Linked DNA regions of Bombyx mori. The protein of the gene in region 3 purifies or fractionates together with the protein of the main gene of each other region. This does not show direct contact. Links are inferred from orthologs where the notes say so. Each region holds a gene or a part of one and is shown on either strand. Other genes may lie near its edges.

What was found.
Region 1: the proteins of bystin (region 3) and RNA-binding protein pno1 fractionate together in Homo sapiens (co-fractionation; 4 studies listed by BioGRID and IntAct, with this or other methods). This does not show direct contact. The link is inferred for Bombyx mori from reciprocal best matches to the Homo sapiens genes BYSL and PNO1.
Region 2: the proteins of bystin (region 3) and serine/threonine-protein kinase RIO2 purify together in Homo sapiens (affinity purification with mass spectrometry; 3 studies listed by BioGRID and IntAct, with this or other methods). This does not show direct contact. The link is inferred for Bombyx mori from reciprocal best matches to the Homo sapiens genes BYSL and RIOK2.

Annotation. Positions count from the first base shown.
Region 1 is NC_085126.1:8,647,749-8,652,106, forward strand, and holds the start of RNA-binding protein pno1, read left to right. Parts: upstream 1-1,407; 5' UTR 1,408-1,840; coding exon 1,841-2,076; intron 2,077-3,190; coding exon 3,191-3,353; intron 3,354-4,358. Other genes in the region: NADH dehydrogenase [ubiquinone] 1 alpha subcomplex subunit 10, mitochondrial, read right to left, coding at 1-630. UniProt on the Homo sapiens protein: Part of the small subunit (SSU) processome, first precursor of the small eukaryotic ribosomal subunit.
Region 2 is NC_085127.1:1,634,651-1,637,860, forward strand, and holds the end of serine/threonine-protein kinase RIO2, read left to right. Parts: intron 1-324; coding exon 325-496; intron 497-892; coding exon 893-1,012; intron 1,013-2,120; coding exon 2,121-2,570; 3' UTR 2,571-2,610; downstream 2,611-3,210. UniProt on the Homo sapiens protein: Serine/threonine-protein kinase involved in the final steps of cytoplasmic maturation of the 40S ribosomal subunit. Involved in export of the 40S pre-ribosome particles (pre-40S) from the nucleus to the cytoplasm.
Region 3 is NC_085121.1:8,924,552-8,928,702, reverse strand, and holds the start of bystin, read right to left. Parts: upstream 2,942-4,151; 5' UTR 2,766-2,941; coding exon 2,631-2,765; intron 2,031-2,630; coding exon 1,907-2,030; intron 1,337-1,906; coding exon 1,099-1,336; intron 1,027-1,098; coding exon 870-1,026; intron 711-869; coding exon 519-710; intron 1-518. UniProt on the Homo sapiens protein: Required for processing of 20S pre-rRNA precursor and biogenesis of 40S ribosomal subunits. May be required for trophinin-dependent regulation of cell adhesion during implantation of human embryos.

The DNA.
Region 1 (4,358 bases), on a different chromosome or scaffold from region 3:
ATAGTAAGTTGACCTGACTGCCTTACTCAAGAATTTCTGAGAATACATAGCTTCCAAGAATACAAAGTCAGAGTAAGGGGACCTCTCCAACACAATTCCTTGGCCAGTATTGAACAGGTGTGCCAAAGCATCAATATACTGACTGTACCGGGCCACATACATCATTATTTGGAAGTTTGCAGCCAAGCGATGGTTAGGATTCTGATTGAAATTAACATGGTCAAAGGTCCTAGTGTCCTCGGGTACTTGGTCGTCGAAGGACCTCAAGTCGACGCCGTTCGGACGAATATAGTGCAAATCCATGTTAGCTTCGGGGAAATGCTTCATACCCAAGTCATCGGCTAGGGAGGCTGCAAAGGCGGTCTTACCAGCAGCTACCGGCCCTTCCACGATTATCACTTTGCTGTTATCATCAAACCTGTGGGTCGTGCGGTCGATTAAGCTGCGCAACCAAGTGTAGTCCTTGTTCACATAGTCAAAGGGTGCAGGTTTCGGTGGAGGAGGTGGTAGCGCTTCCCGCATGGCCCGCCCGGAGATATTCCTATTTTGTACAAACGTACATGCTGCTATTTTTGTACCCTGAGTTGGGCTGATAACTTTAATTACAGCTGTTCTGACGAGAGTAGCCATTGTGGCTAATGTACCTTATGAATTGTGAAACTGTGAAATATTAAATAATTTCGAATGATTAGGTATTTGAATCATAAATTGAAGTGTTTATCTTAAATAAATCACTTTTTCTCACCTCAAATCAATACATAACAACAAATCGCAGCTAGAAGATTTGTGACATAACCATTTTAATACGTTCTGAAACAGTTAGGTCATAATGTTCATAATAAGTGTATAATCTATGAGTTAGATAAAGTTTTTTTGCAATAGCAGCGTTGAATTCTCCCAACTTTTAATAAACGTTAAAATTATTTTTAAGTACCTAAGGATTTAAAAAAAATATATATTTATTTATGCCGATCGAAACTTATTACACATTTAGTAATAGTTCAAAAACCCTTTTTTGCTATAATATATTTTTGAACGCTTTTCGCTCGGATTATGCACTTAAACATAGATTATAGCTCTTAGAGTCAAACTGAAATTACCAAATATGGAGAGTATAGGCGTTGGGCAGGACACCTTGCGAGATATACGCATAAAAGATGGACATTAGAAACCACAACATGGGAAGGACCAGTGGGCAAAAGAAGAAGAGGCCGACCAAGGGGCAGATGGATCGACGAAATAATAGCAGCAACTGGAAAAGAATGGAGAAATAAAGCCAAGAATAGGAAGAGTGCAGTAAGCTGGAGGAGGCTTATACCCAAATGGGGTTCCACTAACACAATTTTTTATTTGATAAGGTGTTTTATCTTTCTTTGTTTTTGGAAATAAAATGGGCTTATTATTATTATTTATCTGTGAAAGTGTACAAATGTGGAAAAATAAAACAAAGCCGCTAGACGTAACTTTTCGGGATCCTCCAAAAAGTCCACTGAAAAAGTGTCAGTAAATGACCACCATTTTACTGAGATTATATTTCATCCCATATCATGCCACGGTTCACATTAATTAACTTCATTTCATTTCGTATCATTTTTTATATATTTAATAATATATGTATATATAAAAGATTAGGCAGTATGGTATAATGCCTTTGCCTTTCCAGTTGGAAAAATAAAACTACTACTACTATGTTAACGTCAACGGTGTCAAAGTCAACAGCACATTCTTTTTGTTTTCCAACACGTGAAACATGTGATTGTTTTATTTTGTAATAAAATATAATCTCAACTGATATTTAATTACCATTAAATTTCACCTAAGCGACGAACCTTCTCACAAAATGGAAACGGAGAACATAAGTGTTGATGATTTTTTGCCAGCTAAAAAGACGATGAAGCTTAAAAATATAAAGCGCAAAGCTACAGATGACACCGGAGATGGTATGGAGGTTGAAGAGCCCACAATTGGGGAAAGCAATCCAAAGAAGCCTAGAAGGAACCGAAAAAAACATAAAAAAAGTTCAGACCCTAATGAGAGTAAAGTTGCAATGCGAAAAGTTGCGGTCCCAGCTCACAGGTAAATTAACCTACAAAACTTCGTAAATGAACACACGAACAATTGTCATAAGGCCAAAAAGAATAATAATTGTACCATTTAATGATTGAACCACTTTGATTTAATCATGTGTCAGAGTTCAATCTGTCATGTTCTTGTTGAGTTCATTGAAAATGACGAGACATGCCACCTAACCCAGGGAGATAACTTCTGAGTTTTTCACTCGATATTCTCAGTGGGTCACGATTCAGGTCCAGTGGTAGATTCAGTAAAGCACTGCTGCTCTTCCTAGAGTAGGTGCTAGTAACTTCTCTTAGGCTGAGACCTTTAAGCTCCTACTAGTTAGGATGAAACCAAAATAACTTCTTGAGCCTACCGGAGTTCATTAACTTGAGGAAAAAAAAGAGTAGGTTCTAAGTCTAATAAAATATGTACTCATCTTCTTCAGTGACTTCTACAGAGAGAGAATAACATTGAGTAATAATGTAATAAGTAATACTGAATATATTCAATGATCGTAGATTGAAATTTTCAATGGTTTTTCTTAGGGTAATACTAATAAAATTGAGATTAAAATGGTTCTGGAGGCTTAAATTTTTATATACAATCTATTATTATTATACATAGTTCATTACAAAATATACACAAAAACTGAAAAAACTAGCTTGATCTTATTCACCTTGGCTTTGGGGTGAATCAGGTTATGTATGATAGACTTTTTCAATAGGGCTGGCACTATTTAGTTGTTAGGTAGATGCCTAACTTTAGGTAATTCACTTTTTATATCTTTAATGAGTTACAAAATTTTGATGACTAACTTAAACTATGTAATATTCTTAAACACTAAATAAAAGTAATTTTCAGTTTAACCAAGTTAAATCTAACAACTCAAAAAAAGTACTGTGACATCCCAGATTTGTCCCTATTCTACCTCTAGTCCCTATTTCCCCCAGTCTACTGTACTGAAGAAAGCTGCACGAAACTGCAATGAAATTTTTCTATTTGCACAACTATTATCCAATTGAGACTAATACCTCAAGTCTCAAGGGGGGTAGGTGGGTGTGTCACACGAGGTAGGACATGAGCTCATTCACCCATGAAAGACATATAATAATAGTATGAATTTTGTTTTAAGATATACACCACTTAAGGAAAGCTGGCTGAAGATATTTACTCCGATTGTTGAACACTTATTGCTACAAGTAAGGTTTAACACGAAAACGAGGAATGTTGAGATAAAAGTCGGACCAGAAACAAAAGATATTGCAAATTTACAGAAAGCTGCTGATTTTGTAAAGGTAATTTTTGTTATTATTAAGAGATATGGAACAAGGGACTATGAACAGTACCAATAATAGATCAGTATACCTTTAGAATTGAAGTAGCTTAACTAAAAATGTTAAGAAAATGAGTTTTATACTTTGATCTGTGTACTTATAAACATGTATCCTGAATGCATAAAATCACATTTTGTTAATTAAAAATTAAAGTTAAATAAGTTCAAAGAATACTTTCCAACTCTTTTAAATCCAATGCATACCTTAAACCACTATCCTGCCCATTTCTGCCGTGAAGCAGTAATGTGTTTCGGTTTGAAGGGTGGGGCAGCCGTTGTAACTATAGTTGAGACCTTAGAACTTATATTTCAAGGTGGGTGGCGCATTTACGTCGTAGATGTCTATGGGCTCCAGTAACCACTTAACACCAGGTGGGCTGTGAGCTCGTCCACCCACGAGAGCAATGATAAAAAAACTTTAAGGTATGCACTTTACGGCTTAAAGTATTAAAATAAAAACTGAAAAATTACAACTCTGTGGTATCTTTCTTATATAAAAAAATAAGACTTTTGTATTAAGCCTTGCAACTCTAAAGGTGCCATATATGTACCAAGAAGATCAATGTTTCATATCTGGGAACAGTTTCTTGACAACTGACTTTTTTTTTACTTTGAATGATCTTACAAATTTGACAGTGGCATCCCAATAGATTGCAATAATGCTAGTACTGAAGGTAATGGTTTCATCTTTGCCAATAAGAAACCAAAAATTGCAATGTAGATAAATGTGGAACTACTTAATACTTAAATTTCATTCTAAAAAAAACATTAACATTACCGATATAAACTTCTAATGCATTAGTTAATTATTGCTATTATTATTTAAAGAATATAATTAATCAACAATCATATTTATTTATATATACAAATAATGTCTGCATGTTTATATATGTGTTGATTGTAAAAGTACTGATGTATATTTCATCAGCTCTTATTTATAGTTGTTTTTAGAAGAAACAGTTTTTTT
Region 2 (3,210 bases), on a different chromosome or scaffold from region 3:
GGGCTCGAGCTCAGAATTTTTAAATAAATAAAGATAATAACATCGACGATTAAGAACTAAATGCTGATCTATAATCTAAATCTATAATAGATTATATTGCACAAACATCGATATACTCGTATTATGCAATGTTGCGGGTTGCGGTTTATGTGCAATATTATGATGGCCATTTATGGCCGGTACAGGGGCGCCGATAAAGTGATTGCCTGGGGGCGCTCTGGACCTTTAATCCGCTACTGCCCCCATGGAATCATTAGTTTGTGTGTGATGCCTTTGATTTAGTGTATGTGTGTGTGTGATGACGTGTCGTGTCTGTGGGTGCAGGTACTTCGAGCGCGACGTCCGGTGCGTGCGCGAGTTCTTCAAGCGCCGGTTCGGGTTCGAGAGCTCGCTGTACCCGGCGCTGCGGGACCTGCGCCGCGCCGAGCGCCTGGACGCCGCCGTGGCCTGCTCGGGGTACCGCCGCGCCGAGGACCTGGACGACCGGCTCATGCGGGTGACTCGCGCCTTCCACGAATTATATCTTTACACTAGCTTTTGACATCGTCCGCGTGGAATAGTTCAAAAATAATGCTTTATTTTAGAACAAATTTGGTTAGCATAAAAAACGTTATAGTGAGCCAACATATTATTATGAGAAACATAGTGAGAAAACATTTTACTGGCCTGAATTGTGAATCTAAACTTATCTCGAATTCATTGGAATACACACATAAAAATTCATGAAATCTGACAAGCCGCTTAGGTGGAATTCACTGACATTTACACGGACAGACGAATTATATAAATGAAGATGAAATTTTAAATAAAAATGCATATTTTTAAAAATCAAAAATTTGTAAGTAAAAACATATTTTGGATAATTAAAAATGAAACATTCAATATATTTCAGGAAATGGGTATTGGTCTGGAAGAGAGCGACGACGATGAGTCGGACGAGGAGTTTGCAGACGCGGTAGACGAGAGGAGCCCCGCCTATACTGACGAGGAACTAGCGGCCCTCAGGCAGCAGGTGCGTGCGCGACCGCCGTGCCGTGCTACACAATAATCTATGCAGATATTATTCCTAAACGAACGATGTTTCGGGGTAATACGACAAAGGGATGAACTTACTGGTGGTAGGACCTCGTGTGAGTCCGCGCGGGTAGGTACCACCGCCCTGCCTATTTCTGCCGTGAAGCAGTAATGCGTTTCCGTTTGAAAGGTGGCGCAGCCGTTGTAACTATACTGAGACCTTAGAACTTATATCTCAAGGTGTGTGGCGCATTTACGTTGTAGATGTCTATGGGCTCCAGTAACCACTTAACACCGGGTGGACTGTGAGCTAGTCCACACATCTAAGCAATTAAAAAAAAACTTGACTACCGGGTGTACTTGCTCGGTAGAGTCGATGCCAAAGTTGTTCGGAACTTGTACGTATGCAAAGTTATAAAAATTGTCGTTATAGTGATTCTCGCATCAGTCAAATATTTTGTGTTCTGTGATAAATACGCGTTACAGATGAGAATACTTTTTTTTTTTAAATGAACTATGCGACACACATATTCTTGTGAATCTTTGAAACGGGTCCAAAGGTTTGGTATTGTTTAAAGCATTGGCGAAATCTTTCTAAAAAAAAGGGACGTTACAAAAAAAAATATATTATAACGCCATCTCGTAAATACCTGAGGTACTATAGTTGTTGCTAACAGAGTTTGGCGCACTTGTACCTCTGAAACTCTTGCAATAGATGTCGCTTACATAAATAAATTTATGAAGTAAAATATTCTTAGGAATTGATAAAGCATTTGTTAAAGGAAATATTAGAATGCAAAGTTTATGTATCGACGCTTAAAAGGCAAACGTGACTAAGCGACAATGCGTGAACTTTACAGTAGACTAATTTAAAGTTGAAATACCTGAAAAAAAGTCTATCTTAACGAATCTAGCTGTAGAATTGAAATTATTTTAATAGATCTAGAAATATATATTTTTTGCGCATCAAATATGCCTATTGCCTATCATTTATGTACAAAGCAGTTATTGTCGCTTAGTCACGTTTGCCTTTCAAGCGTCGGTATCTTATGATCGTAGTGGCGTTTTAAGGTAGTGTGAATCAATAATAATAAATACATTTGCAGGTGGACATTTCAATACAGAACGACAAACGCAACGACGTCATCGACAACCTTACTACAAAGACCGTCACACTCCATATTACGGAAGAGAACAAATCCGAAGCAGAAGAAGTACCGACTCTCGTTAAAGCGGAGGAGGAGGCTGAAGAAGTCACGTGCACAGAAGACACTGATAAAGTAGGAGAATTGAATAAGAACTCGCAGAAGTATCGACTGGCGATGATTGAGAAGGCGTTGTCCGATGTGAGGTCGATGAGATCCGACACGTCCGCCAGCACGATAGCCCCGGCTGTCGTCAAACTGCAGGTGAAGAAGAATCTGGAACAGCGACAAAAGAAGATGGAGAGGAAGAAGGCCGTAGCGAAGGGAGAGGCCAGCGCCGTCACCAGGAGCCGGAGGGACAACTCCGAGACCATCAGGGAGAGCCACGGCTTGTGGGGCTGGGACGAATAGATATTGTTGTGTAGTTTTATTAATAAATCATTATAATCAATAGTGTTTTTTTTAATGCATTAGGGGGTCAATGAAGGGGGAGGGTGATGGGAGAGATGTGCTCCGCACTAAACGCTTCACTTCCCCCCTTTGCCTTTTCATGAGTTCTATCTCATACGAGGTTTGGACTTTGGTTGTTGAGCGACAGGAGGTTTTAGTCAGTTCGACTCCGACATGCCCCGCCCTCCATCCCCAGGGGAGGGCGGAAGTCCGGCGATTTCCTCCTGACCAAAAAAAAAAAGCGGGTCAATGAACTCAAGGCCTATCCAATAATCCCCGGAGGCCATTGACGTGTCGCCGCCCTTGAAATGATAGCCCATTTTTGTTTCGCGGTAGACATGGGCAGGATAGTGGTGCCTACCCACATATTGCGTATTGATGATCGCGGCACGCTCATGAGAAGGCGTCCCTTCCTTCCCCGATGTAACCCTAAGTTTCTTTCATGACACGTACGAGAAGACAAGGGGTCGTACCTATCTAATATCGAAAAAAAAAAAAGGTACGACAAGATTCCTTCAAATAATTGATGCCATTACATAGTTTCGAGTCGAATCGTATTTTCTAAAGGTTTCCTTAAAGTTTTAATGTGTACATACGAATT
Region 3 (4,151 bases):
ATTATTTGCAATATCCATTCATGGAATGCACGGTCATAAATAGTTGAATACTTGTCCAAATATGCACAACTGAAATAAGAAGTTGCACAAGCATTTCTGGCTTATCCAAAGAGTAACATTAGTTTCCACAGGATTGGCAACAACAGGAGTGATATCAAATTACAGCTTTATCAATCAATTAACATAATGATCCTACTACCTATCACAAAAGGCAGCAAACCTAAACAATTGCGGATAAGTCAGGAAATTTCTTCAAAATGAACAACAATCAAATGCAATATGAATCACATAATAGGACCATTAAAAATAACAGAAAAAATTACTCAACAAATACCAAGCATACCTTCCTATCAATGGTTGTTTGGCTTGGGCCTAACTATGTGATTGAGATGAGAAGACAAGAGAATAAAAATAAAAGTTATTTGTTTAAAATTTTGATTGTGACTCACTCCTTTACAGTGTGTTGTACAAAACACATCACTTTTATATTAATTTTAATCCCAAACTTGGCATCTTACCTCACATAACGGTAGTAAAATTCCCTTCATAAAAGCACCAGGTTTGAACAAGGCCTTCCTCAATGCTTGGTACAAGTGGAAATTCAACCTTTTGTATTCAGCAAGGTCATCTCTGACACGTGGTAGTAAAACTAAATTATAAAACCTCTGAGCCATCTTCTCCTTAAGATTTGATGCAAAAATTCTAGTTGCCTGCAAACCAATAATCATAATGAATAATGTGATAACATTAAATAAAGCCTTCAATTCTGATTAAAGCTATGATTTTCCGAATATCATTCATTAACGCCAGACATTTAAGTATTATTCAACTACTAAATTTATTGTTATTAGTATTTTCTTATTGTTAACCTGATACATAGCAGCTGCTGACCAAGTAGTAGGCTCTGTTAAGTATAAAATTTGCTCCCAATTCTGCAAATGTGGCACCATTTTGAAAGCTTTCGGTAATTTGCCTGATCTATATTTCTGGAGTACATCCCTTACGCCCTCATACATGGTTTTTATTCTGAAATTCAAAATTTATATACAAAGATTGTAATACTTCATTTTGATCAAAAATTTTATCAATCTCACTTACCTTGGATCAATATTCTGCAATTTTAAAGTTTCTGCATCTGAGAACTGAGTCTGTAGTTCTGTGTGTTTGTCAGTAATTTTTTCTTTTATAATATCAGCTAGAGTTCTAACTCTTTCTGTTTTAGATGATTTGAACAATTTGAGTGCTTCTTCATCTGCTTCGTTGATTTCAATGTTATCATAGTATGTGTCAGGTTCCAAGTCATCCTTCTCTGAATCTGAACTATCTGATCCTTTATCTAACAAATAATATCTTTAGTTATTTTTCAACAAGTGGAATTACTAACTATCAAATCTAAATTGCAGTTGAAAATAATTTCAGTTCATTCACAAGGTACATTTGAGAAATTAATTGCATTATAACAAAAATGACTGTTCACTATTTGTTTACTTCTACTGTACATGTACACTGTCATAGAATGTTTTACACACGTCCTTACGGATCCATCAGATCCAATAACCTTAGCATTAGATGCCTTCAGCTCTAACACTAGGAACAGGCTAAGCGACCCTGGTAACTGTACTCGTCAAATTCAACAAAGAAGTCGACGTCCAACCTAAGCCATGCATCAGCCTGCTGAGTTTCTCGCCGGATCTTCTCAGCGGGTCGCGATTCCAATCCGGTTGTAGATTCATTCGCGAAGCAGTTGCTCTTGAGTTGTTAGGTCTCCTTTGGAGGGGCTTGGGCAGCTGTTAGCAAATCCCACCCCTCCTGGTTGAGCCTTTGCTCACCCACCTGTCCTGGTGAAACTGGAAAGGCCTCCAGGCCACCAGTAATTCTATCAACATAAAAAAAAAGAATGTTTTACCTTTAAAGCTTGACACAAGAGTGACATGTTTTGCTGGAGACGGACCAATCTCATTGTCTTCTAGTTCAGCTTGTTGCCTTCTAGCAGTTTTTAAAATTTTTTTAGACAAATCTGCTTTTACAAACTGAAAAAATATATAAAATCGATTATTGTGGACATTATCTGCCATCTGCACGTTGCCCGCAGAGGTGTAGACAACTTGGAACGTCTGATGGTCACTGGGAAAGTAGAAGGAAAACGTCCTAGAGGCCGGAGCCCCAAACGTTGGTCCAACCAGATCTCCGAGCAAACCAGCGGACCACTTAGCGCTGCACTACACCAGGCAACTGACCGGAACCGATGGAGGCTAACAGTAGACAAGCTAAAACGGAGTCACGATCCTCAGCAATGAGGGAGCGATGGAGAAGAAGAAGAAGAAGAATCTGCCATCTGCCTATTTTTGATTCCTAATGCCTACATTACCACCCGGCCTATTTCTGCCGTGAAGCAGTAATGCGTTTTGATTGAAGGGCAGGGCAGCCTTTGTACTGTTAAAAGTGAGACCTTAAAGCTCATGTCTCAAGGTGAGTGGCGGCATTTACGTTGTGTCTATGGGCTCCGGTAACCACTTAACACCAGGCGGGCAGTGACATGTCCAACAATCTAAGCAATAACAAAATAAATAAATAAAACATTATACTTAAATAGATTACAGAAATAATTTAAAGTAGTATGCATAATTTACCTCATCGTCTTCATCGTGCCTATTTCTATCTTTGGTCCTATTTTTAATTTTGACTGAATTTCCAGATTCAATTTGATCAGCAAGAGCTAAATTTTTTCCCACTTGTGAGGGCTTCAACTTTTTAACTTTACCCATATTAGTTTCAACTAAATGGTCAGTAAGGAAACTTTTAACAAACACCACAGTTTTCTTAATACTACATACAAAAACCGTTCCTGCGGAACATAAATTGTAAACGTTATCAAAGATTTACCATGTGCTGTTGTTTTTTTAGTTAGAAAATGTCATAAATTTTTGCAGCTGTAATGACATTGTCAATGTCTTCGAGTTAAGGGAACATAGCCTATACAACCTACATAGCCTAGACAGCCTAATCTTTTGTTTGTCACTAATTTTACTGAGGATTATATAAAATCCACGGCTTTATATTGAAAGTTTTACATTACTGAAAATTTTGAAAAACTATGATTTAAATTTAAAGCATAAAAGACAAAAAACTAACCATAAAGTTAGAAAATAATGGCGGGCGTCCAAAATACCTACAGAGATACTATGATCATCTATAAATTACTATACCTAAAAAAACCTAATAATACACGCTGTAGCCAAATAAAAAATTCATACATACGTTTTTTGAAGTTATACTTCTTTAGGCGCGCGCACCGTGACACAAAATTAACAGAATGAAGTTGCTCACTAAATCGCTCACTACAATACGACTGACGTAGCTATTAATAAAATAAAATAATAATCATAAAAATAAAGTATAACTTCTTACGCGCGTACATAAGTACACGCACCCCTTTTTTTTAATACGCTTTTATTAGCTTCAGACGTTACATACGTCTGAAGCTAATAAAAGATAGTTTGTAACGGAATCTTTGAACATGATTTTGACCCCCTTCAAAACGTCGGATTAACTTGAAATTTGATATACCGAAAAATGGGGTTATTGGGGTTTGAGAGGTGAATGGGGAAAAGCAGGAAAATCTTTCGACGCTCAATATTAGTTTTTTAATCGTTGCAAAATCTTCCATTTTTTGTAGTGTAATAAAAGTTCACAAAACAACTCTGAATATGCATGATAATAGCTGCTATCTTATTCTTCTTGTTGTGGTAATTATTTTAGTGCTAGACTTTACTCTCTTTTATTTATTTGATAATAATAAAAGACAACTGTGATTTATAAACGTTATTTAGTGTTTGAACCATCATATTGTATTAAAAGTAAGTCTCAACTGTTATTGGTTTTAATGTTTTTTGATAATATAAAAAAACATGTAAAAATCTGTTGTTTTTGGGGACGTCTGAGGTACAAATAACAACGAGATGGGCAATTGGGATGAGAATAAGTTAAATGGGAACGACCTAAGTATAAATAGGTACAGGCGTGTAGGGTTGTCTATGTAGTTATAACAATATTTTTTAAATGTTGGTAAGAATCTGGTTTATTCATGATGTTTTTGTCTAGAACTTTTATTCAAAATTATCAATGCAGTGTTATTTTATTGTTTGGCAAAT